Linked DNA regions of Coturnix japonica. The protein of the gene in region 1 binds, or shares a complex with, the protein of each later gene. Links are inferred from orthologs where the notes say so. Each region holds a gene or a part of one and is shown on either strand. Other genes may lie near its edges. The genes, in order: STRN3, STK26 and STK25.

What was found.
Region 2: STRN3 (region 1) and STK26 share a complex: the UniProt entries of both Homo sapiens proteins name them as parts of the core of STRIPAK complex. The link is inferred for Coturnix japonica from reciprocal best matches to the Homo sapiens genes STRN3 and STK26.
Region 3: STRN3 (region 1) and STK25 share a complex: the UniProt entries of both Homo sapiens proteins name them as parts of the core of STRIPAK complex. The link is inferred for Coturnix japonica from reciprocal best matches to the Homo sapiens genes STRN3 and STK25.

Annotation. Positions count from the first base shown.
Region 1 is NC_029520.1:30,893,763-30,897,410, forward strand, and holds part of STRN3 (striatin-3), read left to right. Parts: intron 1-1,084; coding exon 1,085-1,260; intron 1,261-1,400; coding exon 1,401-1,448; intron 1,449-2,493; coding exon 2,494-2,615; intron 2,616-3,648. UniProt on the Homo sapiens protein: Calmodulin-binding scaffolding protein which is the center of the striatin-interacting phosphatase and kinase (STRIPAK) complexes.
Region 2 is NC_029519.1:3,339,719-3,343,466, forward strand, and holds the start of STK26 (serine/threonine-protein kinase 26), read left to right. Parts: upstream 1-934; 5' UTR 935-1,214; intron 1,215-1,268; exon of another isoform or gene 1,269-1,311; 5' UTR 1,312-1,386; coding exon 1,387-1,428; intron 1,429-3,748. UniProt on the Homo sapiens protein: Serine/threonine-protein kinase that acts as a mediator of cell growth. Modulates apoptosis. In association with STK24 negatively regulates Golgi reorientation in polarized cell migration upon RHO activation.
Region 3 is NC_029524.1:3,907,723-3,911,470, forward strand, and holds the start of STK25 (serine/threonine-protein kinase 25), read right to left. Parts: upstream 2,358-3,748; 5' UTR 2,228-2,357; intron 2,135-2,227; 5' UTR 2,100-2,134; coding exon 2,070-2,099; intron 1-2,069. UniProt on the Homo sapiens protein: Oxidant stress-activated serine/threonine kinase that may play a role in the response to environmental stress.

The DNA.
Region 1 (3,648 bases):
TAATTTCTTGAGAGGAAGGGAGAAGTATATGTATGTCTTCTTTTTCCTTGGATGGATGTTTTAGGATAAGTGGAATGTAATCTTTTATGGTGGTTCTTCACACTCTGATTAATATATGTTATATTTGGAGATCTAAATTAGTCTTTGTTGCATTCACTAGAAGTTTTCTGGTAACATTTTTTTGAGATAATTAGCATTAATATTAAGTGTCTACAATTTGTGGGTTTTTATATCTTAATATAATAATATTTTTCAACATAGTCACCACCATTAGCTATGCATTTTCACCAGAGATGAACGGTGAGTGCATTTTTTTTTCCTGCATGGAGGAATTCAGTGTTTCACCTGTGCTTCAAATGCATTTGTGTCAGCTGTCAGTTTGTTAGGCTGCTCCTCTTCTGCAGTTTGTTGCACAGCAACAAAATATAATGGAATATTGTCAGAAAGTTTCAATCTCTACTGTCGTAACACCAGCATCCACTTATGATGTAGTGGGCCAATAACGTAAAATGTAGCTTTCAGAGCAGCCTTCATATTTTAACTGTTTCTCTGTACATGCCCTATCATGTAGAATTATTCAAGATTTGCATATGGTTCCTGTCATTCTTAGTCAAGATGTTAATCAAAGGAAGAGATCTGGGGACCTGGAGTTTATTTTAATTGTCTTTAAGTGATAATGGGCTTTTGAAAGTTGTAATCTCTTCCTTTGTTACAGAGTATATGATAAGCAATGAAATCGGTATTGGTTTTGTTTTTTTTTTTTCTGGGTAGAAGAATTAAGGTATTGTTGTACAAAAGGATTAAAACAGAAAAAAAATTGAAAATCTAAGCTTCTTCTTTGCATATTCAGTATTATGTTCTTTTCTACACTGGAACAAAAGAAGCTTCTGCAGTAGGAAAAAAATATATTGCAGACTTTCTTGCATGCCAGAGAGGGAGTTGCATATGCATATAGATCAATAGTGAAATGCATATTTGAGTATGCATCAACTGAATTAAGAAAAGCAAGCTTTTCTTAATGTACAAATACTTGTTATACATGGTTTTAAAACTCAATGTAATATAATGCCTTCTCTTTTTTAAGCTGCCAGCTAATAAAGATGCCTTCCGAAAGACATGGAACCCTAAGTATACGCTACGCAGTCATTTTGATGGAGTGCGGGCATTAGCTTTTCATCCTGTAGAGCCTGTGCTGGTTACAGCCTCTGAGGACCATACTCTAAAACTTTGGAATTTGCAGAAAACGGTTCCTGCCAAAAAGTAAGTGTATGGGTTTCATGAAGCATTAGTTCTGTTTTTAAAAGTCTTTGAAGTTGATTCTCTTAAAACTGTTAAATGCTTCTAGAGTTTTTCAGTAGAGACTTCATTTGGTGTAATAATGTTTCCTCTTCATCTTTCAGGAGTGCCTCTTTAGATGTAGAACCCATCTACACATTTAGGGCCCACATGTAAGTATTTATCAGAATTACTTGATAATTTTCTGATCTCCTGGATTCATAAAACACTATATAGACAAGATTATACTCTTTAAAACCAGATCGATACTGAATCCCTATCATCAATTGCGGACTCCACAATAAAATAAGAAGGAAGGAAATGTAGAAGATGATACTGGAATTGCCTGAGCAATGTTTTGGGCTGGGGCTTTTAATATGTAATACCTAAAGAAAATAGATAAGGTTGAATTCTAGTAGTCTGACATAGTAGCCCTCAGTTTTGAGAGGTGAAAAATACAGTTGCAGTCATCAAGAAAAAAAAAGGAATTAATGCAGGCTCGACATTCATTTATCCCTGTGTCGAAGCATGTAGGTGGATTCAACTAGCAGTATCTGTTTTCACCGGCTTAGAATATGTAATTTCAGTTTGCTAATCTGCACTTAAGACCAGTAAACTATATCTTAAGCATGACCTGTTGTGAGCCAGCCATCGAATTTTGGGATATTGTTTTACAAGACAGTTAAACCTGACTTAGTGTTATGTCCAAAGGTGCTGCTTCCTTCTGGGACACAGCTTGTCTAGTGTCCCTGCAAACAGGTTCAAGAAGTTAAACCAGCAGTAGTCTAGCCTTAACCAAGAAGTACTCCTCCTACGATTATTTTTCTGAGCCAGTTTTCTGAAGCATATGTTTCTGTCCATCTGAGAAAGTTCACAGTTTTAGTGGTAGGGAGCTAGAACAACCTCTTTCAGCACAGCTCATTTTTAGATAGGCATAGATTGTCTGTTTAAAAAAATAAATAAATGTATGTATACATTCCTTCCTGCTTTGCAGACTTAGTTTCTACTGTAGTAAGATTGTGTTCTTGAATTGCTTAAATTTTGATAATTGTTATATATATATTTTAATGTAGGTTTGTATAACTTGCTAAGACTTAAGGTTTTAACAGAATTTTTTAATCCAGGGTATTTGTTTTTGCCTTTTTAAAAAGAGATTGCGAAATTATAACTGTACTGTTGTCAGTACCAGTAAACTACTTATTCTCTGTCTCCCAATAGTGGACCTGTATTGTCATTGGCAATTAGTTCTAATGGAGAACAATGTTTCAGTGGTGGTATTGATGCAACCATCCAGTGGTGGAACATGCCTAGCCCTAACGTGGACCCATATGACACCTACGGTAAGCACCTTTTAAAAGAAAAGCAATCTATAGGTGTTGTCTTGGACACAAATTTTCCACTTGGCAACATGTTTTCGAAGCCTATTGCACAATGGGAATGCCACTTATCAAATGAATTGCGCTTTCAAATTTTGTATGCAATTACTGTTTGCTGCTAACTTCCGTTTGCATTAGTGACGTGTTGTCTATAGAACTGTAACAGAGAAAGTGGCAAATCGTAATGTTTAAATAATGAAGATATCGGTTGTATCCCTTTCTACGAGACAGGCTTTTTACTTTGGTTTTCCAAAATCTGGAATTTTAATGCTGTGTAGGCAAATTGTTTTTGCATTTCATTTCCCATAACCAGTGACTTAAATTGCTGTTAACTGTATGAAAAACTAGTTTGTCTCCCTTATGCTGGTGTGGTTCAGCAGTATCACATGTTACTGAAGTTTGAATTGGTTTAGAGGCAGGACTGTTGTGTATTCTTGCTCTTTTGGTTATGCCACTGTAGTAAGTGATCTGATACACCGCTCAGGCTGCAAAATCTGTACCAGTGAGGTGAAGAGAGGAAGCAATGCTGTCTTACATCAATTTAAAAAGACTAGTAAAGTGATCTTAAAATTTACATGGGCCTCAGGCAGTCACTACTGAAGTAACAAAGTAATTTTTAAAAGCCAGAGTTCTCTCAAGTTATTTTTCCTCCGTAGGGCTTTTGTTTGCAAGACTTTGTTTTAAATTTCACACAAAATTAAGTTTTGGAGATTTTTCACTTAGTCCTTTCCACCTACCTTTTTGTCTCTGTACTACTCACAGCCTGGTTTATTGAAAAACCCTCTATGAAAAGTAGCTGTAAAATATAGATATATTTCTTTGTTTCGCAACAAAAGTAAACTTGTTTCAATATTTGGGTGCCCAGATTCTTTAGAGCACCTATGAGTCAGCAGAGTACAGTAAGTTGGGGGGGGGGAAAAAGCAGTATTACAGTGAAGGCATCAGAGTTAGAGGAACTCAGAGTTTGAGTAACTGATGAATAGGCTGATCTTTTTTG
Region 2 (3,748 bases), on another chromosome or scaffold:
GGTGAAGGCTGAACAAAGTGGCAAGTCAGAAAATAAAGTAATACCAGCATGAGCCACAAGTCTGTCCTTAGCTAACATCACTGCGAGTTGTTTTCTGGTTCAAACCACAGGGAGTTAAGGTTGGAAAGGCTGCTGAACGTTGAAATTCCTGGCGCTAGCACAGCCTTACCTTAAACAGAGGTGTTTTGTGCTCCTTGCCACAGTACAGCATTTCTCCATGTTGTAATGGAGAGAGACCTCCTTTGATCACACCCTTTCCGAAGGGAACCACCCTCTGGACGGGGTACGGACAACAGCCTGCTATCTCTACTGACCTTCCCATTGCTTGGCTTTCAGGCCCATGGAGCTGTGAATTTGAGCAAAGTCCTCAAGGATATTTGTATCTGAATATGAGTGTGACCACCGCTCATGATTCCTGTGCGCCTGCTCAGAAGGGGAAGACAGGCGTCATAAAAGATATCATTTTTAGCTTCACTTGAGTAACTGGCAAAACTTCAATGCATAGGAACGTGAATCATGCAACACGGAGAGGTGACTCACATACGAATGGGAAAAACGTCGCCCTAAAACAATGTCATTTTCTCCTGACCCACAGTGGAAGGAGAAGGTGAGGAGAGGCAAAATAAAAAGCCAAGAAAAGACCATAAACGTCCGCCGGATTATTCGCACAGGGGACAGCGATGTACGCGCACTGTGACCATGTTTGTGGGCACTGCGCTCGGTAGGACGGGGCCTGCAGGGGACAAGCATTGCCACAAGGCGCCTGGGGGGGACACAGCGCCGTGACAGCGCCGCAGGGCCCACGGCAGGGCGAGCATCCCCTGCCGAACAACACCGCGCTCACAGCCCCATCGCCACCCGGCCGCTCCTCCCCGCCCAGCCCGTAGGCGGGGGCAGTGACGCCGAGCCCCGTGCGGCGGCGGCGGCTCCGCCCCACGAGGCCGGAGCTGAGACGGAAGAAGCCGCCGCCGCACAGCAGCCTCCTCCTCCTCCTCCTGCTGCCGCCCGGGGCCCGACATGGCGCTGTGAGCCCAGCCCCAGCCGTGCACAGAGCCGTCACCCGGAGGGCACCGAGCAGCCGCCGTCCCCGCTTCGGGAGCGGGCAGGGGGGCATGGGCAGGGCCGCCGCGGGGAGCCCGGCGGGCATGGCACAGCGGCCTTAGGGGAGCCCTTCCCGCCCGCGTCGCGCAGCTCGGCCCCGCGGCCCCAGCGAGGTGAGTCGGCGGCGGGCGGGGCCGCGCGGGGAGGGAACGAGGGAAGGAGGGAGCGCGGCCCGCGCTGAAGCCGCTCCCCGCCGCTTTGTCCTTCCAGGCCCCGCCGCCGCCCAGCAGCAGGGAGGCCGAGAGGAGGGAGCAGCGGGCGGCGCCCGGCCGCCGTAGCCCGGCCATGGCCCACTCGCCCGTGGCGGTGCAAGTGCCCGGCATGCAGGTGAGCTCCGAGCCGCTCCGGTCCCAAAATGGAGGCGGCGGGCAACGCTCCGGCTCCGGAAGCGGCGCCGCGCGGAGGCCGCCGTTGGGTCGTGGGGAGTGCGGGCGGGCGGAGCGGGGCGGCCTGCAAGCGGGGAGGCCTCGCTCGGTATCGGGGGAGAGCGGGCCCGAGCCGTCGCGTTGCGGGAGGGGCTGCGCTGAGGTAGCGGCGGGCCCGGGGAGGAGCCGCGGTGCCGCGTACCTGCGGCCCGCACGGGGCTGAGAGCCCTTCTCCGCTTTGTTCGGGATGGGCCGCGACACGGAGCGTGGAAGAGCTTCTGAAATTGGTGAAAGGCCAAACGAAGTGAATCGGGGAGTGCGCTGCAAGTGACATATCGGCCCCGTGGGGCTGCCCACCGCCGGCGCTTGGGCCTGTAGCACTGAGCCCTGCTGCTCTGCCTGTAATGAGGGCCTGGCGCTCAGGGAAGGGTGCGAGTGGAGGTCCGATGTTTGTGCTGCGTGCCGCTGGGAGCCATCATCTGTCAGAAAATGCCACCTCTCCTTGGCTGGGAGCGAGGCCCGGTGTCCTTCGAGCGTTTGTGAAACTTGTTTAAACAAACAAACAAGCGATATGTAAGTGATTTTTCAGAGGGAGGCTGGGATAGCTGTGACTCTTCCTTCTTATTCTGCTGGACAGCCCCTTGTGAGTTTGGGTGCAGATCTTTATCAAACAAAGAGGAGCTGAGCTCATTTCAGCGCTGTTTTCTACCTGTCAGGCTGGCAGCTCTGTCAGCATTTTTGGCCTTTCTCTCAGCTTTTGGGGTTGGCTCACCTGCCCCATAGCTGAGGGACTGGGGGGTTGCTTTTCCTTTCCTCATTTCCAATAACAGAGAAGTCTTTATGATACATCAAAGTGAGATACACAGCTTGGAGTTCAGGTTTCAGATCAGAAGGTTGAAATTTCTCCTGGTTGGTTATCTTCCATGTTTTTTAGAGTGTAGAAGCGATGTATAAAGACCACTCCTATACTATTCTGCCTTGGATGCAATGCTGAGGTTTGGTTTACCTTTTTCACTTCTAGTAACTTAACGACCTTCTGAAATCAGTAAAATTTGATCGTGCAATTGTTGGTATAAGATGACATAAGCCACACTTTCTATCCTCCATCTTCTGTTAATGTTTTCATATTTGGAAGACTTCCTTTTTCAAGGTGCAAACTTATGAGCTCCTTATTGTCATACCTCCTTGATCCATTGCTGACCTATTTTCCATGGCTGCCTTGTCACCACCAAAGGACCTTGGAAATTATTTGAGGTCCTGTTTTCTGTTGTTAAACCAATAACGTTTATGTAATAGTTCCTTTAGTGCTGTTAGTTTAACCCAGATCTCTGAAGGTATAGACATATGTTTAAAACTCTCTCTGCTTTTTTAACTATTAGATATGTGCAGCTGTAAAGAATTAAGAAATAGCTTCTTTTGATGAAGACTATTACACAAGTCCAGACAATCTTGTAATACAAAGGAATTGGATTTGGTGCAAAATTACTCACCTCGCTGTTCCTTAAGAGGGATTGTAATACAGCTTAAGAAAGCAAACAAAAATCTCTCTTGCAAAGGTTGATAGTCTAAACCTTGCTTTTTCCCCCCTCCTTTTAATACCTATTTGAACTGTTCATTCAAGATCATCCAAGTGATTACGAAAGCATCCCTGCATCAGCTCAGTGTTAAAATAACTCATGGCTACTAAAGAAGGAATGAACAGGTTTGCCTGTGAAGGAGGGAGATCTAATAGCTGTATTAAAACTAGCACCGTGCACAAGTGCATGTCATGTCACGCTCCTTGTTTGCAGCCTGTGTTGAGGGAAGTGTTTTCACCAAATATAACAGATTGAAACAGAATCTGCCAGAGAATGTGTTTCAGGTATGAATCCTTCAGTTTTACTGTAATCCTATGATTTCCATCCCAAACAAACAAATCAGGCTCTAAAAAGACATTACCAGTTTATCACCGAAGCATTACACAAGCTCTTCTGGCTGTTTTAAGATCTCTTAAATGTTTTATAGCTGAAAATACTGCAGGTCCCATAGAGTTGTTTTGGTCAACTCGAACTCTGCCTGTGAGTAGTATGACAACAATGGAAGACCCAGAGGTAGTATTATCTGCTGCCCTTATGAATAGTTCCAGAATGATGTGTTTGTGTAGTGGTTGCATTCTGTTGAACCTGTCTCATGTCCTTGACAAAACCAGATGTTATACCACACAATTCATGCCTGTGCAAACAATTTCCTGAATATGTGGGTTTTTTTTTTCCACTTACTTTGAAAGGCCCAGTTTGCATCAG
Region 3 (3,748 bases), on another chromosome or scaffold:
TGGTAGAGGAGACAGACCATGACAAGAACAAGGCTGCCTACAGGAACAACAGAACTGGGAACACAGCTGGATTCAGAGCTTTAAAGACTGCAGTGCAAATACATCATCGAGAGGGTAGAGCACCCAACAAAGGCCCACTGTGCTGTATGTACACAGCAAAGGTCAACCAAGAGAAGAGAGTACCTAGCTGGCCTAGGCAGAGGCACTGAGATAAAGCAGCTTAGGGATCTGCCTAAGGTAATCCGGCACATGGGCAATAGATAAGGAACCAGAGACAAGTGAAGGCCCTTACATTCCAATCCAAGTCGTATGTCTCTTTATTTTTACAGCACCTCCTCACCACTGCTTAAAACTTGGCTAACAGAATGTATGGAAACTGTCGAGTCCCAGCCTGAACCATTGATTGAGCACCTGGGCAAAGGACCTGGCCAGCCCTGGATGCACAGGTGAAGGCAATGCAGCAGTGAGACTAGAAGGGGTACAGCCTGGCTGCATCTCTCTTAGACCCCATTTAAGGGCTGACTGCCTCTGGGGAAGGATCTTTTTCTGGAGGTCTCTCCTTGGTGAAGCTTTCCTCTGCAAACTGAGACTCTTCTGATCCAGGTGAGCAATCTTCTTTCTTTCCTTTGTAGCACCTCTCTGTTGTGCCAGCCCTTCCATCATCATCACACATTTGATGTAATGCCTTTCCCATTGCACCGATCTAATTGCTACACAGAACTTCAGGCCAATTCCTGCTGCTCTTCCAAGAAGCCTCAATTAAACAGATTATGAGGTGCCACCGAGGATTCCAGAAGAGACTCAAGGAAGGGATAGATAACACATACTGCTTTCCTATTTTAGCACTGGAGTTATCACAGTATGACAAACTCTGATAAAACACCTGACATCTGCCTAATGTACAGATTAGATAACCAGAACTTTGATAGCTTCTATTATTGAATGCTGCCTAAAAACAAAGCTCTACTCAGAGCAAGACACTGCACCAACAGAGCTCAGCTCCCTGCCTTGAGCAGGCAGTATCCTTCTTCATTCCTTCGTTTCTCTCCCTGCAGCGTGACTCATTCAGGCACTAAATTTGCATTCAATTCCACCAGTACTTTGAGGAAACGGTGTGTGTGAAAGGCAGCATGCAAAGCAAAGATGCACTGCAAATCAATTTTAAACCAGGAAAGGTTTGGAGGAAGCATCACCTCAAACCACTGAAGTACACCTAGAAGCATAAAATACTCTGGTCAGCCTGGTCTGGTGGTTGGTGACTCTGCCTGTGGAAGGGAGGTTGAAACTGGATGATCATTATGGTCCTTTTTAACCCAGGCCATTCTGTGATGCTATGGCTCTGGGGGGACCTGAGAGTGGCCTTTCAGTACCTGAAGCAGGGCTGTAAGAAGGAAGGACACAGACTCTGCCTGCTGTGATAGGATGAGGGAAAGCGGTCCCAAACTAAGAGGAAAGACTCAAGCTGGATATTGATAATGAAGTTTTTTACAGTAGGGGTGGTGAAGCGTTGGCACAGGTTGCCCAGATTGGTGGTGGTGCCCCATGTCTGCAAACACCCAAGGTCAGGATGGACGGGGCTCTGAGCACCTGATGGAGCTGTATGTGTCCCTGCTCGGTGCAGGGTGTTAGAGCAGATGGCCATCAAGTGTCTCCTCTATGACTCTATATAAAGAAAAGCACCCAGATTTCTCCCTAGGGATCAGCACAATGCACTGACACCTGCCAACCATCACACATACCCACAGCCAAGCCCAGAAGAAAGCCGATCCGAGCTGATACCATTCTGTGCTCCAGCTTTTAGCCCTGAGTCATGACATCACCTCGTGCCATCACAACAGCGGGATGTACCTACAGCCCCTGAGGCCTCACACGGCATCACACGGGATGGAGGAGACCTTACGACGGTGACACCGACCGGCAGCACTGAGGCTACAGAGCCCGGTGTCCATTGCGGTTTGCCGTGCAGCAGAGCGGCCCCATATGAAGGCCGTGGGCAGCAGCCAGCAGCAAACAAAGCGGGGATCGATGTGCAGCGGGGAGATGGGAGCTGTGCACGGGGCGGCCCTTACCTGGCTGCCGAAGTCCCTCAGGTGCGCCATGCTGGATCCGTGGGGCCGCGCTCCTCGGCGTTCAGCTGCGGGAGACAACACGGCGGCTCTGCCCGGTCCCGTCTCGCCCCGCCATCCCCGCTCCGCCCCTTGTTGTCCCCCCTTCCCCCAGCCCCCACCTACGGCCCTGGTTCCCCCCGCGCAGCGCCGTGCGCCGCCATGCCGACAACAGCCGCCCCGGGACACCGAGCTCGGCCGCGCCGCCGGGAGGAAGCGGGAGGGGAGGCCGCGCCGCGATGCCTGCTGGGAGATGTAGTTCTAGCCCCGCCCAGAGATACAATGGGGCCGCCCCTACGGACTGCATGTCCCGGCGGGCTGTGCGCGGGGCGGAAGGAGGGGCCGAGGGAAGGGGAGGTGCGGGCTACAGCTCCCACGTGCGGCGGGTGTCGGGGAGCGGCGATAGGGGTCGGTGATGGGGGTCGGTGCTTGTGACGGCTGCCTTTAGGGTAAGCCATAATGAACGGCCCTGCCCGGCTAATGGCCGCCTCCGGGAGCGGTCAGGGCTGCCGGGTGGGTCTATGAACACGGACCCGCTTTGGGTTGTTTTGTCGCTGCCACCAGGTGGCAACCGCGGATCGCAGCGCTGAGCCCCGCGCGGCCCCGTGGGGATGCACGGTAACAGCTCGGCCCCAATGGCAGCTGGAGCATTGAGCACAGCCGTGCGATGAGCTGCCCACAGTAGTGGGAGACAGAGCTCCAAACCGAAGTGCTCGTCCCTTCGGTGCAAGGCATTGGGCTGATGGGCTGCACTCCACCTGGTAGGCATGAAGTCACCGCTGTGTGATGGCAGCCATAAGCTGCTCCGGGCCTTAAACCTTGTCCTTGCATCTCCTACAAGGATCAGCTTTAAAGGGAACCTGTCCCTGCCAAAAAGAACACACTGAGTGCTGCAGAAGCCCATTTGCTCCTATGGTTCCCCTTCCAGAGCCTTTAGGTGTATAGAAGCTGCATCAGGCTGCTAGAGCTCCAGCACTCTTGTTCCTGCCTGCAGACTATAACTACAAGGCTCAGTGTTGCGAGACTCTCTTTCCCTGCTGATATCATGGCTCTTAAGACTCTTTTGAGTGTTCAGCAAAGAAAAGGGCCTTTATCTCCCAATTCTGCTGCTGAAGTGGAATAAGCAGGAGTGGCTCTTGCAGCTGTGAAGCTCCGTGTGGAGCTGACTCCTGGGTTGGCTCAGCATCTTTTCCCTCCCAGTGACTAATCCTCAAATTAAGCCAGGCTCCTTCCAAGCTGAGAGCACAGAGCGCTTGTTCTTCCAAACCATGTTCCTGTGCAGCAGCAGAAAACAGCTGATGAAGCTGAATCTTAAACCCTCGCAGACGTCTGTGCTCTGCTTAGGCAGGAATGGATACAGCTGATGGATCTGCAGGGATACTTTGCCTTCCCAGCTGGTCTCTTCTCACTGCCCTGATAACAGGAGACCCCAGGGTGCCCCTGCTTAAACAGGGTGAATGACAGGAGCCGGTGATGAGGGTGAGCTGCACATCAGCCAGCACCTGGGGATAGAGCTGGCACTCACTGAGCACTCAGAGAGACAGCCTTGTCTGGAGCCACAGCACAGCTATGGAAATTAGCACGTCTAGTCTTTGAAATAGAACAAAGTGCTCTGCTGGAATCAACAGCGTGGCATCCTGCTT